Linked DNA regions of Mus musculus: all the other regions are reported to be linked to region 3. Evidence: microRNA targets listed by miRTarBase, many of them from high-throughput screens and not tested one by one. Region 3 holds a microRNA gene; each other region holds the end of a gene's coding sequence.

The links. The annotated mature microRNA mmu-miR-301b-3p reads CAGUGCAAUGGUAUUGUCAAAGC and lies in region 3 at 4,880-4,902, opposite strand. An mRNA with a match to its seed (bases 2 to 7 or 8) in the 3' UTR can be bound and repressed. Matches are read on the target gene's strand: a 7mer-m8 pairs with bases 2 to 8, a 7mer-A1 pairs with bases 2 to 7 and ends in A, and an 8mer does both.
Region 1: miRTarBase lists Papss2 as a target of mmu-miR-301b-3p. Seed matches in the 3' UTR shown: 7mer-m8 at 5,559-5,565.
Region 2: miRTarBase lists Lnpep as a target of mmu-miR-301b-3p. Seed matches in the 3' UTR shown: 7mer-m8 at 6,190-6,196.

Annotation. Positions count from the first base shown.
Region 1 is chr19:32,664,273-32,671,372 of GRCm38, reverse strand. It overlaps Papss2 (3'-phosphoadenosine 5'-phosphosulfate synthase 2), which reads right to left. Exons shown (of 13, transcript NM_011864.3): 12 at 6,723-6,952; 13 at 4,186-5,947. The coding sequence ends at 5,806. Among named protein-coding and RNA genes, the nearest start is that of Atad1, 44 kb to the left of the region's middle.
Region 2 is chr17:17,523,473-17,530,572 of GRCm38, forward strand. Lnpep (leucyl/cystinyl aminopeptidase) reads right to left here. Exons shown (of 18, transcript NM_172827.3): 17 at 7,005-7,086; 18 at 4,251-6,408. The coding sequence ends at 6,277. Among named protein-coding and RNA genes, the nearest start is that of Gm41537, 36 kb to the left of the region's middle.
Region 3 is chr16:17,119,541-17,126,660 of GRCm38, forward strand. Mir301b (microRNA 301b) reads right to left here and starts at 4,956; the gene lies at 4,860-4,956. It overlaps 2610318N02Rik (RIKEN cDNA 2610318N02 gene), which reads right to left and starts at 5,662. Exons shown (of 7, transcript NM_001358255.1): 1 at 5,450-5,662; 2 at 1,756-2,011; 3 at 1,416-1,539. The coding sequence starts at 1,977. It overlaps Mir130b (microRNA 130b), which reads right to left and starts at 4,602; the gene lies at 4,521-4,602.

The DNA.
Region 1 (7,100 bases), not on the chromosome of region 3:
AGACTCTAATGCCTCTGTGAGCACCTGCATTCACATGTACACATACACCTACCTACCCACACACACACACACATACACACACACACACACATACACACACACACACACACACAATTAAAAATAATAAATCACAATTAAAAATAATAAATCTGTTGCAATCATATTTAAGAGGATCTGATCCATATGAAACAATCTAACTGAACCTACTAAAGTAGCTAAGAGTTACCATGTAAATGAAATCAAATCAAGAAAGTCATTTCACAATGTTAATTGAAGACATGCTGGCAAACCTGGTAATTGTTACAACCGTTTATGATAGTAGCCAGTGAGAGTATTACTAAAATTCTGATGGGGTGGTTTTTGTGGTAGTCTTAATATTTACAGTTCTAAACCTTTTTTTTTGTGGAGACTGAAATGATGGCTCAGCAGTTAAGAGCGTGCATGCTGCTCTTCAAAGGACACAAGGTTCATTCCCAGCACCCAGTTCCTTCCCGCACAATTTTCTGACATTCCCATTTCAGAGACTCCAAGGCAAACTCCTGGTGCCTGCAAGCAGCCATACTCACATGATAAACACACATAAATCAAAATTTTGAGACTGGTTTTAGATAGCTTTTGTGCTTTGAACTAAGATGAAGTGAATGTTAGTGCTATGTTGTGGGACACATAAAAAACATGGGTTTGGAAACCATGACAGTTCAGGTGTTTGTTTTTGAGAGAGGGTCTCCCAGGCTGTCCTGAAACTCCTGCATCAGTTTTCCTAGTGCCTGGAGCCTCAATGGCCACCATGATGGCGCAGTTCTAACCAAACACCAAAAAGAATTGATAACGGATATATAAATGTGTAATCAAGACATAATGTAGACCACATTGTTGTTTTGGGTTTTGTTTGTTTGTTTGTTTTGGTTTTTCGAGACAGGGTTTCTCTGTAAAGCCCTGGCTGTCCTGGAGCTCACTTTGTAGACCAGGCTGGCCTCGAACTTAGAAATCTGCCTGCCTCTGCCTCCCGAGTGCTGGGATTAAAGGCGTGCGCCACCACGCCCGGTGGACCACATTGTTTTAAAGATGCATTAGATTTCAGAAATCAGATACTCTACAGATAGCATATGTCATTATGCCTCTTCACAGGCACATCTAGGCCTTAGTCAATCTTAGAAAGACTACCCAACTAGGATTCTGTTGGCAGCAACCAACTGTAGATAATCTAGAAAATAATTTATTTGAAGCAGGTGGGATGCCTGGCCTCAGAGGGGAGCTGAAGGAACCGATCTAAATATTGAGCTCCAAATGGGTTTTATTTTTAGCAAAGATTGCTCAAGGCCTTCTATTATTCCTTCATTGGCCTTCAGGAACTTTGCCTGTTGTTCTGAGAACTCCTTGGGTTATTAAAATAGATGGCATTGAGTATAGGGGTCTGTTGGAGACATTGAGACTAAGAACAAAAGGAGATGGGTAAATTCATTCTAAAAACTTCTGGAGAGAGTGTTGGACAAACTAGAGTGGCAGTTAGCCAGCTGACTGTGAACCACAGGTAACCCAGTGGGTGTGCAGAGAATGAGAAGGGAGCCATTCCTGTGGACAGGCTTCCAAGGGCTGGTGTGTGGGACCCTGCTAAGTTCTTTCGCTTGGAGTGCTATTTACTATGGCCAACTCTGCCTAGGTAAAATAACTTAATGTTTTTATACTAGCTGGCTGATACAAGAGAGCTGTGGAAAGTGAAACAAAACACAGGTTTTTGTTTCCAGTGAGTGCAAGACCTTTCCTCTGACAAGAGTAAAGGGCAGATCGTTGCCTGTTCCAGTCCTAGTTGCACTGGACCTGTGCGGTGTCTTTAACTGAACAAGTTGGCTGGCTTGGCTGAGCCCCTACTCACCCCGATACCAGCTTTTCCATCTTGTTTTTTGGAGCTGGGAGGAGTTTGGGTTCCACCTTCAGATGCTTGTCGCTTTCATTTGTTTTTAATTCTGAAAGGTGGAATCCAGTCATCTTGAGAACATACAAGGCATCTAGACCCTTTCCTGGCATGTTCTTGACAAAATTCAAAGTAGCGGGATTGTAGCCTAGCGGTCTATTTTTGTAGGTGTGTTTGCCCTTGCAGTTTGTCCCAATAAATACACTGTTGTCTTCAATCTCTCCTGAATTACCCTCATCTTTGCAAAATATCCCTGGCAGATAAACACACAGATCCTTCCTCCATTCATACTGGTCTACTCTCTGCACTAATACTGCCAAGGTAAGGCCAAGCTTACCTCTGAATGGCTTACTTCTCTCCAAATGAAGAGGGTTGGCTTGTTTTCTTTTGGGTTGTTTGTTTGTTTGTTTGTTTTTTGTTGTTTTTAAAAATTGTTTTCCCCACTCTGATTTGCTAGCCTCATAATAAAATAGTTTTTTTTTTTACCTCTAGAACCTGGCTAAAATGTTCAAATCTAGCAAGTAGCCCATTTGTTTTTACTAATTTAAGTAAAATAACTTTGGAATGCATATAGTGAACCGTTTGAGTGCCATCTTCGTTTGGTAACTGTTCTGTGCGACCCAGTAAAAGTATTCCCCAAGGAACTATGTTGATGCCAGGGTTGGGAAAGATCAGCATCCCTATACAGACGGTCTCTAACTGCCTATTAGTAGACAATGGACATTTGAGTCATTCAAAAGCTGCATCGTCCCCTTAAACCTTTAGGCACAAGAACAACTAGCTCGTCTGTTAGATTCACTGGTTTCTTGCCTGGAAGGACACCTATGCAGAATATAAATGCTTGCAAGACTCAGATGCCTCATAGAAAAGTGGGAAATGGGGGAGGGGAATGCAAACTTGCTGTTCTTGAGGAACCAAGATTGTTTATTTGCAGGACAGATGGGTTAGAAAGAAATATTGGGGCCTGATAAATACTGATGGCCTTAGTCAGGGTTTCTATTCCTGCACAAACATCATGACCAAGAAGCAAGTTGTGGAGGAAAGGGTTTATTCAGCTTACACTTCCATACTGCTGTTCATCACCAAGGAAGTCAGGACTGGAACTCAAGCAGGTCAGGAAGCAGGAGCTGATGCAGAAGCCATGGAGGGATGTTCCTTACTTGCTGGCTCTCCTGGCTTGCTCAGCCTGCTCTCTTATAAAACCCAAGACTACCAGCCCAGAGATGATCCCACCCACAAGGGGCCTTTCGCCCTTGATCACTAATTGAGAAAATGCCTTACAGTTGTATCTCATGGAGGCATTTCCTCAACTGAAGCTCCTTTCTCTGTGATAACCCCAGCTGTGTCAAGTTGACACATAACACCTGCCAGTACACTGATGTAAGGTCTGACTGATTGATTTATGTATGCTTTTCCAGGATTTGTTTGCACTTCCTTAAGAGTGACACATGATCATAGACATTTCTTGGACTTGTGTACCCTACTAATTGATAATAGGAGTCACCAACTATGATCTGAGGAGAAAACAACAAAGGAACTACAAATGATACCATTCACTCATTTTTTTTTAATTAATTAATTTTTTTTTTTTGAGACTGGATCTTATGCAGCCCAGGTTAGTTTCAAACTCACTCCATAGCCTAGGAAACATTGTACTTCTAATATGCCTGCCTCTACCTCCCAACACTGGGATAAACAAGTATGTGCCACTGTGTCTGATTTATACAGTGCTGAGAATCAAACCAAGGCCTGTGTGCATGCTAGGCAAACAGTCTACCTGCTGAGCCATGACTCAGCACCAGGTGATAGCTTTGCATTGGCGATTACACTACTAATATTTGTGGTGAAGTAGCAGAAAACTTGCATGATGCCATTAGAAGTACATCAGGCACTCAGGAAGAAGCAAGAGCTTTGTGCCTAGCGGCCCACCTTCCCCCAGCATGAGAGTGGAAATGTACTGCCTTAGGCACACAGAATACTGGCTGCTAAGGAGGGTCTGAAGATAAGATCTATACCTATAAGAGCAAGGGCTTTGGCTTCATCACCTTAGATTGTCCTGCAGTGAAATTCTGGGTAGAATTTCATAAGTAACCCAGTCACCTCGGAGAAGCAGGTGTCCAGCTAAGACTATGAGTCATTTACATCTGAAAGTCAAGTGTGAAAATGATGTGAATAAGGGCGCCTAGAAGAGAGTAGATACTGCTCTCCAGTTAGACATTGCTATGACCCCCTGACATGGCCACTGAGGCAGTAACCAAAATCACCAGTCAACGTGGTCTTTTGAGAGATTTATTGAATAAGAACAGGTACCAGCGGGACACTGAAACAGTTATGCTGTGTGCTACAGCAGAAAGGCACTCTACTGTCTTAAAATCACAACTTCATATGCTAAGAAGGCACTACAACCCTGTCACGTTTTCAGTGAAGACATAGTTTTAAAGGCAGCAGTGAATAAATAGCTCTGATGTAAGTGAGCACAGGCGCCATACAGTCGAAGACTCACTTTGCTGTGGTCACAGTATATAACTTACTCTCAGTAGAGCTTTTCCTAGCATTTTTAAAAAACGTGGCAGTATGAAAAAAATCAGTTTCTCTTTTCAGTCTGTGGTCTCTTCCAAAGAAACCTGTATGTAAAGATGCCTTTTCTCTTATGTATTTCTTGGCAACAATGAACCATGCATAAAATACCAAAATTCCCTCTTAGCAAATAAACCATCAAAGGACATCTCACAACAGGTTCATTCTGGAAACTTATAACATCAAGAGTTTGGGATACCCTAAACCTTCGGTCTCCAAGGTGGTTGCTTCTTAGCATCCTCAAGGAGAGCTTCACTAAGTAGCTTCAGGAAATCGGAACCTCTTCCTGTGTTGTCTAGGGTAGGCAGGGCCCTAGCTTAGGAGGATGGTCAGTCTTTCAGTGTCGGCAGTATTCACTAATGTCAACTTTGTATATTACAGTGCTCAGCAGCTCTCAAAGCTTATGTGTATATATCTTCACTAGGATGATGTTTGGATTTTATCTTTGCTACAGAAATCAAGTTTTAGCTTCTCATTAATAATGTGGGTTGGTTTTGATTACAGCGATCACTTAGGTGCTTCTATAATAACTATGGCCACAGCAAAGTGTGGGGAAAGTAGTCTACAATATACCCTGGTGGTTTAGTCTGGGGGGGGGGTTGTTTTGATCCAAGCATACCATGCTTTTGAAAAGTGCCAGCCAAACTAGAGTAACTATTCATAGAAGGCCATTAGAGCGTCTCTCTCTATTGGATGATGACATTTTCATGGCAGACATAAATTACATTGTTCTTTAAGACTTAATTTACATCTTCACATGAATTTTTCTTCCAGTTGCATCTTCAGCTCGTACATTGGGCAGTGATGGTATGTGTAGTTATGAAGTAAGAGTCCTGATATAACACATTTCCTTCAAAGCGACAGTGTGTGTGTATGTATATGTGTGTGTGTGTGTGTGTATGTATGTGTGTGTGTGTGTGTGTGTGTGTGTTTTCTTTTGGTAAGTGACATTGAGATTCCAGGCTGGCACAAGTAAGCTGGAAAGTATGATTCTGTTCTGGGCTAGTCAGCTAGCCACACAGTTACATTTTTAAGAAATCTGAGACATAGTGGCTGAGATGAAGTGTACAGTGCAAATGCTTTCATTCTGGAACGTACAACGATATTGCTTTCACCTAAGACTCAGTCTCCAGTGTGAGCTTCATAGACATAATGAACTTGGTTTTAAATTATGGTTACAGCTTTTTACTTCATTGCAAAAATACTAGCTTTAAAAAGTCACCGAGAAGCAATTGGATACAGAGCAGCTAAATCACAAAAATAGAAAAAAAAAATCGTCAGAGAGCACTTGAGGAAGAAGCCAGAGCCAGGAGCACCTAGTTGGTCTTCTCCAGAGACCTGTAGTAATCTGTCAACACTTTCCACGCTTTCGGGGCCATGAAGCCATCTGGGGGATCTTCTCCTTCCCGGGCGAGCTTCCTCATGCGAGTTCCTGAGATGAAGTCAAACTCCTCGTGCCTGTCAGTACAGCAACAGAGAGTTCAGCAGAGGGAAGTAGCAGCTCTTTAAAGATCCCTGGGGCTACATTGCTGATTTTATTTTGCATTTTTTTTCTTTTTTCTGTAAACAGCCAAATGTTTTAAAATGGGCAGTTGTCTCAGTCTTTAGCTCCGAATCTTGTGGAACAAAGAAGGGATAAAAGCAGGTGTTTGCACAGTGGTTCTTGCACACCTCTCTTTTATATCTTGAGGCCAGAGATTAACTTGTTGTGTGAAGTTGGTATGGAACAGACATGTGCCATAAGTGCTCATTGAAAAGCGTCTCTCCCCATGTCCTTTCACTTAAAGGTTAGGTGTTAGGTGTCTACATAAGGCAGATCTATGGAGTTTCATATAGCCTAGCCTGGCCTAAAGCTTGATGTAGCCAAAGATGACCAGCCTGCCTCTAGCTCCCTTGTGCTGTGACTGTCGGCATGTAGCACTATGCCCAGCTCAAGAACTTTCTGTGGGGTTCCTGGAGATCAAAGCCAGGGCTGTGCAAATGCTAGGCAAGTATTCTGCTAGTAAGCTATATCCATCGGACCAAAGAGAAATGTTTACAGACCAACACCTACATGCAGAGGACTCTGCCAACAATGTCAGGGGACACAGCATTTGCAAGAGCAGGTCTATAACTCAAGGGTGTCTTTCCCATTGGAAGCCTGTAGACTGGAGACTTTTTCCAGAGGGTCAAAGTTTTCCCTCATCAGGACAGTTGTCATGTCAATTAATTTTTTTTTTCTCCAGAAACCTACCTTGCTGGATCATAAAAGTCCATGGCCTTTTTAATTTTATTGTAGGCAGCCACTCGGAACGGAATTATTTCCACAGAGGTAAGGCCAGGGGCCATACTCAAGACCTTGCCCCCGTGGGTGGGTTCATATAGGTCTTTCTTTGTCTCAGGATGGGGCATTCCTGCGGGATCCCTACCCACAATGTAGAAATTGGCTCCTGCAATCATCCGGCATCTGCAATGCCACTGGACCTGGAAAATATCACATAGGGGACATGATGGTCAGGGGTTCCTCTTTATGCCGATTCTTTTAATTTTGCTTTTGAAGTGACTGAAAGGGGCAGGTCATTTAAAAGTAGTGAGGAAGTCTGTGAGTCTAAGCCTCTAGCACTATTCAAGC
Region 2 (7,100 bases), not on the chromosome of region 3:
TTTCATGATGTTCTTTACAGTTAGGCAAAGGGCTGAACACAAAATGAAATAAAAACATGACAACTTTATATTAAGAATAGTCTACTATCAAAAATATAAATCCAAAACAAGTAAATAAGACACAGCTGCTTTACTCACTCTTGCCAATACTGGCATCCAGGGAAGGGTAGAATGGGAGATACGTCATACACTGATCCTCAACTTTGATTAGGTACTCACCTATCCATGTAAAGGACTAGGGGCCTAATCAGTACCATGAAAAAATATATTTTAAAATCATGCACTCACCCTTTCCCCTAACCACTACCCACCTAAGCAATCCCATTCCCACCCCCTAAAAAAAAAAAACCAAGTTATAAAAGTATTGCCTCTGTAGGCAATGAGGAAAAGGGAGCAGGGGAGAGTTATCATACCTCTGGACCTCAATGTTGCATTATGTATCTACAAATTCCAGCAAAGAACTGGTGTTATGTGGAATAATATACAGAATATAGCAATATTATATATACATTAAAAATATATAAACACCCAGACCCCCACAAAGCAAACAAAAGATAAGCAAATAAAACATCTAGTCTACCACTGCCCACCAGGCAGTGAGGGATAGGGACTGTGGAGAGTTTTCATAGAATCAATCTCAGTGTTCATTAAGTACAGAGTAAAAATAGTCGCACCAAGGACCACGTTCAAAATGAAGTTAACACCACAAGGCATTTACAATCATATATACATATATATTATATGGTTACCTTTTTCTCTAACAAGCTATGCTATAAGCAACAGACAAAACAAGAACTCAAGCCTTATAGTACGTATACACTACTGCAATATGGCACAGGTGACAGAGAAGGGGCAGATGTTCCACACTTCTGGGCATAGATATAGACTCTTGGTTTGTTTGATAACACAAACACAGATTGAGAGTGAAAAACTGAAATAACTGACAGACTTTTAAATACATCCAAAAAGGTAAAAACCCAGAACTCTTCTCACCCTACACCCCCATGCCAAAGCTACACAACTACTCTACAAGCCATTGCCCAGACAGGCAATGAGGGAAGGGAAAGGGGAGATTTTTCATAGAATGAACCTCAATATTCTTTATGTACCTAAGTGTCCACAAATAGATTTAGGTACAAATGAAGTAACAACAAAAAGTTTAAAAAATTTATATTTACATTTTAAAGTATATACATACTTCCACCTACTGGGTGGAAGAGAATTAGAAAATCTATGCTATTCTACAGCTATTGCCCACAGAGGCAATGAGGAAAAGGGAAAAGAGGAAGTTTTCATACATCCGGACCTCCACGTTTCATTAGGTACTTAAATGCCCATGTAAAGGATTCAGTACCAAATGAAATAATACAGTATAGTAACAAAATTATTTATATTTATAAAGAATATATTTCTCGCCCTTAGTCCCCAGTAAAGCTAAGAGAAAAAAAAAACCTAAAAAGAAAAGCCTACTCACAGAGATGGAACAGGAATGGGAGGACACTAAATTCGGAGCTCCACAGTTCATCAGGACAGGCACCCAATGAAATGGCTTAAGTGATTAAGAAGCAAGAGCACCTAGGGACACACATAGGAAAAGCAGATGCCAGCTCCTCAGCCCCCAGGAGCAGCTCCAGGTCACTGTCAATGCTACTGTCAATGATACTGCATGGCCAACATAAGGAAGAAACCTCTTGGAGAGATTTCTAGCTTTACTCATAAAGCCATAGAAAGGACAGGGAAAACAAGGAAGGAAAAGCACAGCGACAACACGTTTGTACACCTGAAAAGTATACACTCTGCCTCCAAACTACTTTTCCAGCTTAGCAAAAACCAACCAACCAACCAACCACCACCAGAAACCCAAACCCAACTTTCAAACATTCAAAATACTTTTAAGAAGTATTGTACCGAGGCAATAAAGGGAAAGAGGGCACTGCTGTACATCTTAACTCCATGGTACATTGGGGATCTTCCACTGTGATCACCCAGAGAACTAAAGCAATACAGTAGTAAGAACATATATACAGACATTAAGTACATTTCCCTCCATCTTCCACTCAGATGGCCAACAGGCCGTAAGAGGTGAGAGAAGAGAGGACTGTTCACATGTAGTCTTCCACATTTCATCAGGTATTTTCACATATGTTTGAAGGGCATAGAACCTAATGAATCAGTAATAAAAGGCCATAGCAAGCACTATTCTACTCTCTTCTACAGTTCTTGCCTTAAGAGGCAACAAGAAAAAGGGAAGAATCAGTCATTCTCAATCACCATGGTAATCACGTGCCTATGCAGAGACAAGTCAAAGTGAAATACAAGTGGCACTGCACTTACAACATGTTTGAAAGGATGAGCGACAACCTAAGTTCCTAAGACTAGAGCAAAACAACAGGTACTATTATCATTCTGTTATTGCCAAACATCTGTGTGTCCTTGCATGGCTTATGTACATGTCCACAAGAAAAATGTATAGAGAGCAGCATTAAGTAAGCGCCAAATAGCAGCAAAACTATTTCTACACACTCTTAAAAGAAGCTACCTTGTTCCCCTCTTGAAACTCACACTGTTTCAAAACTTAAATTATTTTACAACTTTGCCTATAGTAGGCAATATGGGAAGAGGAGAGATTATCAGAAAGCAGTACTTCACTCTTTCATTAACAGGACAAAATTTATAAAATATAAAAACATCTAAAAATACATGTATATGTTTCAAAATATGTATCAACACTAACACCCTCCCCCCACGCCCCGCCCAAAAACCTCTACAACTCTCTAAAGGTCAATAACTTACTCTACTAGTTGTTGACTAACCGGGCAATAAAGGATGGGGAAAGAGTAATCTGTCATACTTTGGGACCTCCATTTTTCATTTGAAACTTTTTTGATATTTTAGAGCTTTAAGAACAAAATAAAAGAACAAAAACCCCAGCAAAAATATATACCTGAGTTTCAAGAAATACAAACATGAGAAGACAGAACATTACCAAAAAAGAAGAAGAAGAAGAAGAAGAAGAAGAAGAAGAAGAAGTAGTAGAAGAAGATTTAATTCCACATAAACAAAAGTAAGGCAAAGGTAAGAAGACCTACATTATACCCATGGTCCCAATCCTTAGAGGCTATGTAAAGCAACGCATTCCTAGATGCAAACTCATTGCACTCCTTGGCAACAGAGCACCTGAGACAGACCGTGCTATCCTAGAGCCCACACAACACATGGTCTCTATAAGTGCTCAGCAGTCTGGCTGAAGATCATCAGTTCAGGTTCTTTAGATTAAGTAACCATCTTTACAATCCAATTTAACAACAGACTAACAATCATGCAACAACACAGGACTTAATTTTAGTTTCTTGCTTCGCAATAATCAGCAAGAATTGTTGGGTACCCAGTAAACCTCATGCAGCTGGATTTGTTTGTTTATACCCAGGACTCTTCTGGCAGCTTTTGCTCCAATGGTGGCTAAAATCTCATAAAAATAAAAACACATATGGCAAAGAAAATTAAGTAGAACCTATGATAGCAAGAAAGTCTTTGAACACTCTGAAACAATGACTAATACAATGAGACAGAAGAGAGCATGAGCCTCTGGGGTGGGGGCATGACCACTACTTTATTATATCTAATGTCATATTAGCAGAGGAAACTTGTCTCCTCCAATTCCCAGCTTTAATAAACTCTCAGATCTCCCAATCGATTCTTTTTCTCAAGTCTAGAATTCCAATTCTACTTTTCCTAATCAAGACGTACCTTTCACATTGCATTCAAGAACACCCCTTCTCTGTAGTGATCAGAATGCTCATTCAACTGCTACCCAAAGCTGTCAGGCATTTTGTGTGTTTATGCCCAAAGCACAAGCTGACCCCCCGTGCTTCAATTTTCCTTCCTAAAAGTACAGAGAGAAGAATTAAATCTTAGAGGAAGGAAATTTGAATGCTACCAACATACTTCTTAGACTACAAGTGCCACCTCTCAGTCATACAGAACTGACTTTGAGTTAGCTAAGAAGCTGTACATAAACGAGCTAACAAAGCATGAAAACGTACAGAATTCTGGGGGCAAATTAAGAGGCCTACCAAAATTTTTTAAAAAGTCAGGTGAAGGTTATAGGTAAGACTTAAAATATGGCTCCAGCATCCTGGGAACGAGCAGCTACTAATCGCACTGGATCAAGGATTACCTCTCCTTAAGCCCATATCCTCATAAGGCTTTATCTACAACACAGCACACCACAAATATTCACACTCATACATGGAAAAAAAGTATTATTTAGGACAAGATTTGCCATATGCAGAATTACAAAGACTATAAGATCAACAAAAAGATGGGCAGGTAAATCTCAAGGTTGAACTGATCTTGAGAAGTAGCAAAAGTTAAACTCTGTTATCAAAGTATAATCTAGTAATACAGCATGGTAAAAAATGAAAAGGGACAACCAAAACCCACAAGAGTATTTGTCCTTCACTCTAAAAATATAAAACCCTACTAACCTTCAGTATCAACACAACTGTCAGACATTTACCAAAAATACAAGGGGAATAGAGATCTATAATTACCTATTTCACTAAAATAGAAAGATGATTCTATGATTCTCAGGAATAACAGTTTCTACTAAAAAAAGCACAAATTAAAAAACAAACAAACAAACAAAAACCCAAAAACTGTTTAGAAAAGATGAAATTGGGAGCAAACTCTAGGATTAAAGCAGGCTATTTTCAGCTTGTCAGCCATTAAAATTTTATTATATAAAAATATTCTCATAAAATAAACTATAACTTTGTATATAACTCCACATATTCTAACTTTACAACAGCTGAATAAAAACAAGTGGCCTCTCTATGGTCTGACTCTGTGGAGTGTTTTCAGTGTTCAGAAATGAGTGATTCCCTTTTTATGTACACAGACACTGTTTTCAAACAAAATATAGACTTCTCATGAGTTATTAAGAAGAAAGCTTCTCTCCTAAGATTCAAAGAAACACAACAATCTAGGAATAAGTCTGCATAGCTCAAAAAGTTCAAGTACAATCCTTCTCCTTCAGAAGGAGTGAAAGCGCCCACATTCTGCTCTGGGTTCCCTCCCTCCCTTGTCCTCTGCTTGATTCTTGGCCACTCTGTTTAACGTAGTTTGGCCATGATAAACAAACAAACAAACAAACAAAAAACCTGTAATTTTTTCAACTAAATAAAAACACTGTTTTTAACAGTGAAAAAAAGAATTCATAGCCCACCATATTTTCAACTTCCTCCTGCTCCACATTCTCATTATTCCTTTAAGGTATTATGGTGAACTTCAAAATAAAAAGCTTTAATTTCTTGAAGATCCTATTTAAGAAATGCTTCTAATATACTCTGTAACATAAAGTAAAACCCACACATGGGTATGATTCACAGAGAAGAGGGTATGATTTGTAAGGTTCAAACAGCAACTTAAACAAATTACATTCTTGGGTGAAAGTAATGACAAAGCCACCAGCGCTCACAGAAATCCTCCCAAGCATGGCATGGAGTGCTCCTCTACAGGAGAAATCCTCCCAAGCATGGAGTGCTCCTCTACAGGAGAAAGCTGGTGGAAGGCCTTACCAGGATACAAAGTTAGGGGTACTGGAATTCATGAGTAAAGTAATTAATGTTAACTCAGTTCAGAACACTTCCTACATAGTGTCATGAAGATGAAGCAGAAAGTGTTAAATATTTGGAAAACTGAAACTTTGAGCCTGACTGTTCAGCTGTTCAATTTAACAGAAATATGAAAAAGTCTTTAGAACCTGGCTATTTTGCAGGAAAAAACTGGAAACTGGACAAAACTTTTTTTAAAGAACCCCCAATCAGGTCATCTGTCTAGAGCTGTACCTTCAATGTCTTTGCCACTGCACTACCAAACCCAGGTGTATCTATTTAACAAAAAGCAACAAACAGTTGATCAATCAGCAACCTACAAACACAGTGGTTCTTACAGCAGACCTTCCTTGGTTGCACTGTAACAGTAATACTCTGGACACTAAGAAATAAAACAAAATTTCAAATCTGACTTTTTTCTCCATTTGTGTGTCAAAGAAAAGTTATTCATTGTTATTGTAGATGGATGACATACAGGTGAATATAATTTTGTAATAAATAACTACTGCCTAAAGACATTTCAGAAAAGATATGAAAAATACAATTGGGCCCTGAGCTAACTAGAACTCCTAACAGTGCAAACAACTCAGCAGCAGGCCGGCCTTCACTCAACCTTTGCGAAAGCAGCAGAGCCATGGGCGCCGGAGATCAGCTGTGAGTGCTACAGCCACTGGGAGAGCGTTTTCAGATTCCTGACCATCCACTGGATATTCAGCTGAATCACTTCCAAAGCCTCCTGAACACACCGAAGCTTCAAGGTTGCCTCTGACTGATTTTCAAAGAATGCCTGGACCTGCAAATTCCACAGAGAAGTATTTTAAACAAAGAAAGGCTGAGGCTCCCTGATTGGCCATTGGAAATAAGTTTTAACTGTGTGATGGTGGCTCAAAGGTCTGACACCTGGGAAGTAGGGGGAGTATGGTAACATTCAGGAACAGCCTGATACTTTAACACCCAAGGTATTTGCCTCAACCAAGTGTGACAATATCTGAAGTGATCTTAAAAACAAAGGACCCTTTCCTTCCCTGCTCGTGCCTCTACTACTATGTCTATATGTCTTCTTTCCTTATTTCTTAAAATAGAAAAAGAACTCCGAAGGAAAAGTCAACATTAGGCTTGATAAATAAATCCACATTTTTGAATGAGATTCCTCAAAATAATTTTATTCCTACTTAAATTATTTGTATTGAGGAAACACCAAGTAGTGCTGAGAATGGAATTAGAATTTCATCTCCTTGCTATACATGCAATCACTTAAAAATAATCTCAGTGTGGAATCATTAGAATTGGTGAAAGAAGACAGAGGGACTAGAATTAGCACGAAAAGCCTCCACGTCACTTCAACAGAGGAGCCTTGCATTTTTCCTGTTAGCATTTTGTACAACCAACCTCAGATAAATGTGTCTTTGTTGAAAATAAGTGAGTAGATCCAGCAACAATACTTTGTATGGTATAGGAGCCCAGATGGAACCTGAAGAAACACAA
Region 3 (7,120 bases):
GTGAGCTATGGGGCTGCTTCAGATTGTCCACAGCAGCTGACTAGGATTTGTCTCATGCTCTAGCATTTTTCCAGCTGTTGATAGTTTTTGCCACTGTGTGACGTTTGGCATTTTGAGTATTCTTCAGAGGATATATAAATCCTGGCCCCAAGAGTTGGGATGGACTGTTGGTGGGTTTCTGGTTGGTTGCTATTGGTCGTGGTTTAAGTAGTCATACACAAAGAAGAAATAAGAAACTGGATATCCTGATGGTGAAGATCAAGCTTGCCTCAAGGAACTCCATGCCCCTAATCAGCAGTATCTAACAATAACAATGCTCCCTTGCCTGTGTCCTTTCACTCTCTCTTATCTAGATAAAGGGTGAAAGAGGGCTGAAGGATGGAAGGGAGGGGAACCCACAAAGTAGCCAAACGTCTGGCTCGACCCTGAGCCAGGACCTACTGTGCTCTTAGGTCTTAAGGACTGCTGAGTCTGCGGAGCACAGTGGGTGTTAAAGCACACCTCACCAGCCCACTGGAAGAGTTCATTCGATGGATGTGGTGTTGCATGCCTGTAATCCCCAAACTCAGGAGATAGAGGCAGGAGGATCAGAAGTTCAAAGCTAATCTCAGCTACAAGTTTAAGGTCAGCCTGGGACATACAAGGCCTTATCAAGCAATAAGGGCTGACTAGATGGCTCAGCAGGTAAAGGAGCTTGCCACCCAGCCTGATAACCTGAGTTGTGGTAGAGCTGAGTCTTCTGCAATCTGTCCTCAGCCATCCACATATGCAGAACAGAAAGTGAGTGTGCTTGTACATGTACATACAAAGTCAACGTAATAGAAGAGCTAGAAGGATAGCTCAGTTGTTATGAGCACTCATTGTTCTTAAAGAAGACCTGGGTTCAGATCTCAGCATGCATGTCAGATGGCTAATAAGCACCTATAAATACAGCTGTAGAGAAGCCAATGCCATGTTCTGGCTTCCACAGGCACTTAAACAAACACATGGGACACACACACAAGACTCCCAGCACTATATGAAGGCAAAGAGGCAGGCAGATTTTGAGGCAAGTAGGACTTCAGAATAAGACCCTGTCTCAAATATATAAGTAGATAAATTGTGTTAATTAAGACAAATATCCTAAGGCTGAGATTAAATGTGTCTACGACCCCTCCCCCACCCTCAGTTGTCATTCTCTAAATTAGCTAATCTTGTTAGGAGGTGTTTCTTCCTTCCTCCCTTTCTGTCCCAGGCCCACATTATCGCTCTTCATTAAATCTGATCCAAGAGAGGCAAATCCAGGGCAGGGAGTGCACCTAAGATTTCACCAATCTAAGCTTGATAGACACTGTAATGTGATGGGAGGCAGAGGGGGAGCAGATGAGCTGGGCTAAGAGTCCCAAGGGTTTGCACCTTCAGAAATTGAGCCTCACCCTGGGAATACAGATGCACACGATGTATGCGCCTCTTCAGCTGCTCCAGGCGCCGATGCATCTCTATGGCACCCATGTCATTGCACTGGTTTAGATCCCCCTGCACAGCGCAGACAAACTTCGCCTGCAATACGGAGGAGAAAAGGCGGGAAGCCAGAAAAGAGTCGCTTGCCTGCTCCTTCCTCAGGCTTGGTATTCTTGGCTTCGGAAAGACCCCTTTGGCTGCCCCAGCCAATAGATAACCTCCCCATTCATCCCTCAGCCAAAGTCCCACCCTCAAAGATCCTCCCTAGTTTAGGGAGTTAGTGGACTTCTGCTGCCCGCTGCCCGCAGCTCGCACCCAGAGGCTGCAGAGGAGCCCGCGCTGCTCGAACTCAGTCTGCTTGCCCTTCCGCACGACTCTCTCCGCCAGTGCTGGGTTGCGATCCAAGGTGCGGAAGAGTCGTCGCAGTGCACGCTCTGTGTAGGTCGCTGCTTGCCTCTCGAAGTCATCCTCGGAAATGAGCTGGCAGAAGGTCACACTCAGGGGGAATTCGTTGTCGAACTCATCCAGGACTTCCATTGGAAATGGACTGCTGGTGGTGGGTCGATGCTACCTGTGGGTAGAACGACCGTCGGGGCAGGGCTCCTGGGGCAGGGAGACCCTCCCGAGGGCCAGGACTGAGAAAGGTGATGGGAAACCATCGGGATGAGGACTGCAGGGCGTACCCACTCTCTCCCTACAGCCGCAGTGCAGACTCCAGATCCCCAGACTACCCACCCCCCTCCCGGTCTACCCCAGGGAATGAATGCCCACAGAGACAGGGGGCGGGTCCAGCACCAGTACGCGTAACAATGCTCACTTCTCTAGGCATGCGCATTGGTGTGCTCCCCACCCCACCCCGCCCCCACTGCTCCACCCCTCACTGTGACCGCCAAAGGCACCCAGGTACCTTCTGGATTTTGAGCTCCTGGATTTTGACCTCCTTCTGAGCCGTGGTCCTTTCCGTTTCAAAGCACCCAGCCCTCTCCCAGTTTGCAGTTCCCTCCATACTCTGCCCTACCAGACCGCCCTGGTAATTGAATCTACTTTCCAGTTCACTAAGATAATATCCAAAAGGACTTCCTTCTGCCCCCCAAAGGGCTTTAGCTCTGGCTTTTGCACCCTCTGAGTTTCCTACCTACTCGGAAGCATTACACACATCCCTCTCCAGATCATGTCCTGACCACTTCTTTTGCTTGTTTTTTGAGACAAGGTCTCCTATGTAATTCTAGCTATATTGGAATCCACTGTAGACCAGGCTGGAACTCTGCCTCCCAAACAATGGGATTAGAGACTGCATGCCTGCACCCATGACCACTTACTTGCTCTATGTCTTGATGTCCTCCTGTGGCCTCTCCTCACACCTACCTCCGCTACCTTCCTCTCCCTCCCCTCCCCTCTGGAGTGCTAGGGATTAAACCCAGGACCTTGTGCATAATAGGCAAGTGTTCTACACCCTGAGCCAATTCAAATTCACAGAAGTGACTTAGCCAACCTAAATCCTTTGCGGCCCAGACCTCCCCTGATATGTACATGTAAGATATGTAAGATATGCACATGTAAGATATGTAAGATATGCACATGTTAGGATTCCTAGCACCTCAGGATGGATCTGCTGTGGCAACAGCTGCTGACACACGTCTACCCTAGCCACAAAGGAGTGTGGTTGCTTCTTCCCCATCAAAGCCCTCCGTCAGGCCTGAGACTCATTATGTATCAGAGCAGTCCCCATGGGTGCCAGGACTTGTGGAGCTAGAGTACTATTAAGGCTGATTTTCTCAATCTATTCCCAAAAGGGAATCTGGAAGCCTGGGCCTCCTCTCAAGGAGGCAGGCCTGACCACCTCCTACTAGGTTTTTGTTTGTTTGTAAAAGAGGGGTGGGTGCATTGAAACAGGGCTTTACCATGTAAATATAGCTCTTCTGGAACGTGCAGGGTAGACCAGGTTGTCCTTGAACTCACAGAGATCTACCTACCCATGCCTTCCCTGTGCTGCATTCAAAGGCATGGGCCATTGGGTCTTGCCGCTAAAGGTAACTCTGCAAGCACACTAAGGATCGGGCATCCTTAAAAATTCAGCTCCAGGGCTGGAGAGATGGCTCAGTGGTTAAGAGCACTGTTCTTCCAGGGGTCCTGAGTTCAAATCCCAGCAACCACATGGTGGCTCACAACCATCTGTAATGGGATCCGATGGCCTCTTCTGGTGTGTCTGAAGACAGCTACAGTGCACTCATATAAATTAAATAAATAAATAAATAAATAAATAAATAAAAATGAGCTCCAGCCCTGTCTGGAAAGCAGACATACCAGACACCTCCATGCCTCTCCTACTCAGCACATACCCTCTTTGTAAAGGAGCAAGCAGACATGGCTGGCAGGCCTACTCTGCAGGCTTCTTGTTCCAAGTCCATCCATCTGGCCCAGGCAGGACACTTCTTCTGAGCCTCAAGGTGTGAACCCAAGGTGTGGTTATCTCAGGAAAGGCTGAGTCCAGTTCTTCCCGAGGCAGTCAAGGCTAAGCAAGGTATACAAACCTTTTCCATACAAAGAGGTGAACATCTGTTTCTCTCCACAAGGTCCTGGAGTTCCTAGTTTTGTTTTGATTCTTCAGACAGCTTCAAAACTGAGACAATCTTCCTGCATCAGCCTCCAGACATGGGCTCACCAATCTTTCTTTCTTTTTTAATTGATTAATTAATTAATTAGTTAATTTGGTTTTTCTCAAAACACGGTTTCTCTGTGTATCCCTGGCTGTCCTAAAACTCACTATGTAGACCAGGATGCCCTAGATCTGGGTGATCCACCTGCCTTTGCCTTCCAAGTGCTGAGATTTAAGGCATGAGCTACCTACCATTCACTCACCGCCGCGCCCCCTGCAGCAGACTCCCCTATCTTAACCTGGGGGGAGGGGGCTAAGAGCTTGAGACTGGAGCCTTTCCAAATCTGGGGTCTCCCCTTTGTACTGGTTCCAGCCTTGGAATATGGTTCTCAGCATCCACCTTATCCTTTTAGCTAGAGATAGCTATCTCTATCTAAGACTATGATCCAAGCACTGACCCTTTTGTTCCTCAGGCTCCTTAGCTGGCCCGACAGATGCCCTTTCATCATTGCACTGCTTCCCAGAGGCCCACAGTAGTGCAACAGGGAAAGAGTGTCCAACAAGCCTGTCAGTCTCACGGGGTGGGGCGGGGCATGGGGAGTTGGGGTGGCTGGAGTGGGATCTTAGACCTAGAACGCATGCCCACCTGGGCGGAGCCTCGGCCTGAGCAAAGGATGCCCTCTGACCCCAGAGACACGGGCCTGGCTACAATCTCAAGTTTCCATGGAGAAGAGAGTAAAATGAGCAGGGGGAGGGTACGGCCTGCAGGCCTGAGGGGCCAGGCCTGGAAAGGGAAGAAAGAAGGAACAGTAGGTGAGGTGGTCTTCGAGGCTGGTCCCAGATGCTTTGACAATACCATTGCACTGCTTCTCACAGCACAGTAGTGCAACCTAGTCAGAGCACCCGCAGCCAGCAGGAAATCCATCGCCCTCGCTGCACGCAGGGCTGCGCTGGAAATTCAACCACCATGGGTGGGTGGGACATCTATCCAAGCTCGGAGAACAGACGGGATTCCAGCCCGGATGCAGTCCTCTGGACTTATTAACTTCAGGGAACTCAAACTTTCTCTAACAGGCTTCTGATTCTGGTGAGGTACTCCAAGGAGGGAGCTGAAGGGCGAGCACCCGAGGGGGCTCAAACACAAAGGAGAGAGGCCTGCGCTCAGTTGCAGAGGGGAGCACAGTGGGACTACTTGTACCCTGTTTCAGACCAGAACTAGAATAAGAGGGATACTTCACTCCTTGCACGTGAGGCCCTTGGAGTCCGAGATCCGGTCCTTGGTCCATTCCCCCAGTATGAGTTCTGCACTCTATCCTAACAGATTCTCCTGCCTAGAAGAGCAGAACTAGGGCTTCCTGGCATCTGGAGTTTCCCTGGCCTCACCGCACACCCTATCCCAGACCAGTTACTCACGTGGACAGACACCTCTTGTTCTCACCAGGGGGACAAGGTGAAGCTTAGTGGAAGATCCAGGTAGGCGGCGGCCCCGTCATATCTGGACAACCCCGCACCTCAGCACCTCGTGGCGCCCTCTCTCCCTCGGCTCCATCTTTAACCATCTGACAGTCCCGAGGGCCGAGCCCCGGGCCTCAAGGCACAGCGCCAGCCTCATTGGCTTGCGCCTACACCAAGCTTTGCCTCCTGCGCACCTATTGGCTGCTGCTGGAAAGATTTCAAAATAGCCTCCAGGCTCCGATTGGCCAGGCGCCCGAGTTTTGGCTCCACCGTTTTAACAATGAGTTCTACAAACACTTTCTCCTCATTCATAACTCTTGAAAAGGAGCTCTGTCCGCCTTTTCCCAGCTCATTTCTCTGTAGTTATTATAGTGATACTCATGAGGGCGCGTCCATGCTTACTACACAGCTCACCAAATTAGCGAGGGCTCTGAGATCCCGGCAAAGTGTCCTTTGGCCAAGCCAGCGGTTGAATGAACCCCTAGGGGATGCTTCGTATTTCGCGAGAAATTTGTTCATTGCTCCTCCAGGATGGGACATTTACTTAAAAACCGTGGCCTTCCCTCTTTCTGTCCAACTTCAGAGCATCGTCATCAGGAAACCTCTGGCTGGGCTGAGGAGGCCCTGGCACTTTTTGTAAGTGAAGAAATGCTCTGATGTCATTGATGTCATTGAGAATGTGAACCACTTTATGGGTAAGAGTTCATTAAGTGACCTTTCTGAGCTAATATGTCCAAAGATACACAGCACCTAGCACCCAGAACCTGAGGTGTTCTACTCAGTTCTGTCAGCGAAGGGAAAAACAGAGTTTTGCAGCTGGCGTCTGAGCTTTACCCCTAGTTATATCCATATGAGACAGGGAATCTTTACCCCCCAGCTCAAAGGCTGAAAGAAAATATTTTTAAAGCAGACAGAGCTGGTTTTCGATCTTCAAGAACTCATTTTGTCCACTTAATTTTAAATGTAATTTTTTGTGTATGGGTGCTTTGTTTGCCTGTCTGTACCACCATGTACATGCCTAGTGTTCAGGGAGGTCAAAAGGCTTTCTATCCTCTGCAACTGAAACTATAGAGGATTGTAAGCAAACACATGCATGCTGGAAATGAAACCCATATGCTCTGGTAGAGCAACCAATGCTATTAACACTGACCCATAATATCTCAGTCCCTACATTGTTTTGTCTTCTTTGGGAAAAAAAAGAATGCTGGTTTTTTGAGACATCGTATATCACGGCTGGCTAGTTGAGAACTCACAGAGTAGACCAGGCTAGCCTTGTGCTTATGGTAATCCTCCTAGGTTTTTGCAGTACTGGGGATACAGCCACCACACTGCATCGCTCCACACAGATACAAAATAAAACATCCAGAAATTCCAACATTTGGGAAGTGGAGAAAAGAGCCAGAAGTTCAAGACCAGCCTGAACTACATGAAATACTGTCTTTAAAGAGAGGGGGCTCACCAGAAAGAAGGCTCAGTGGTTAAGAGGGTTGGCTGCTCTTCCAGAGGACTCAGGTTCCATGCCCAGGATCCACAAGTTGTCTCAAAGGCATCTGTAACTCCAGTCCAGTATCGTCTTCTGGTCTCTAAAGCCATTGCATGCATAGACATATGGGCAGTCAAAACACCCAT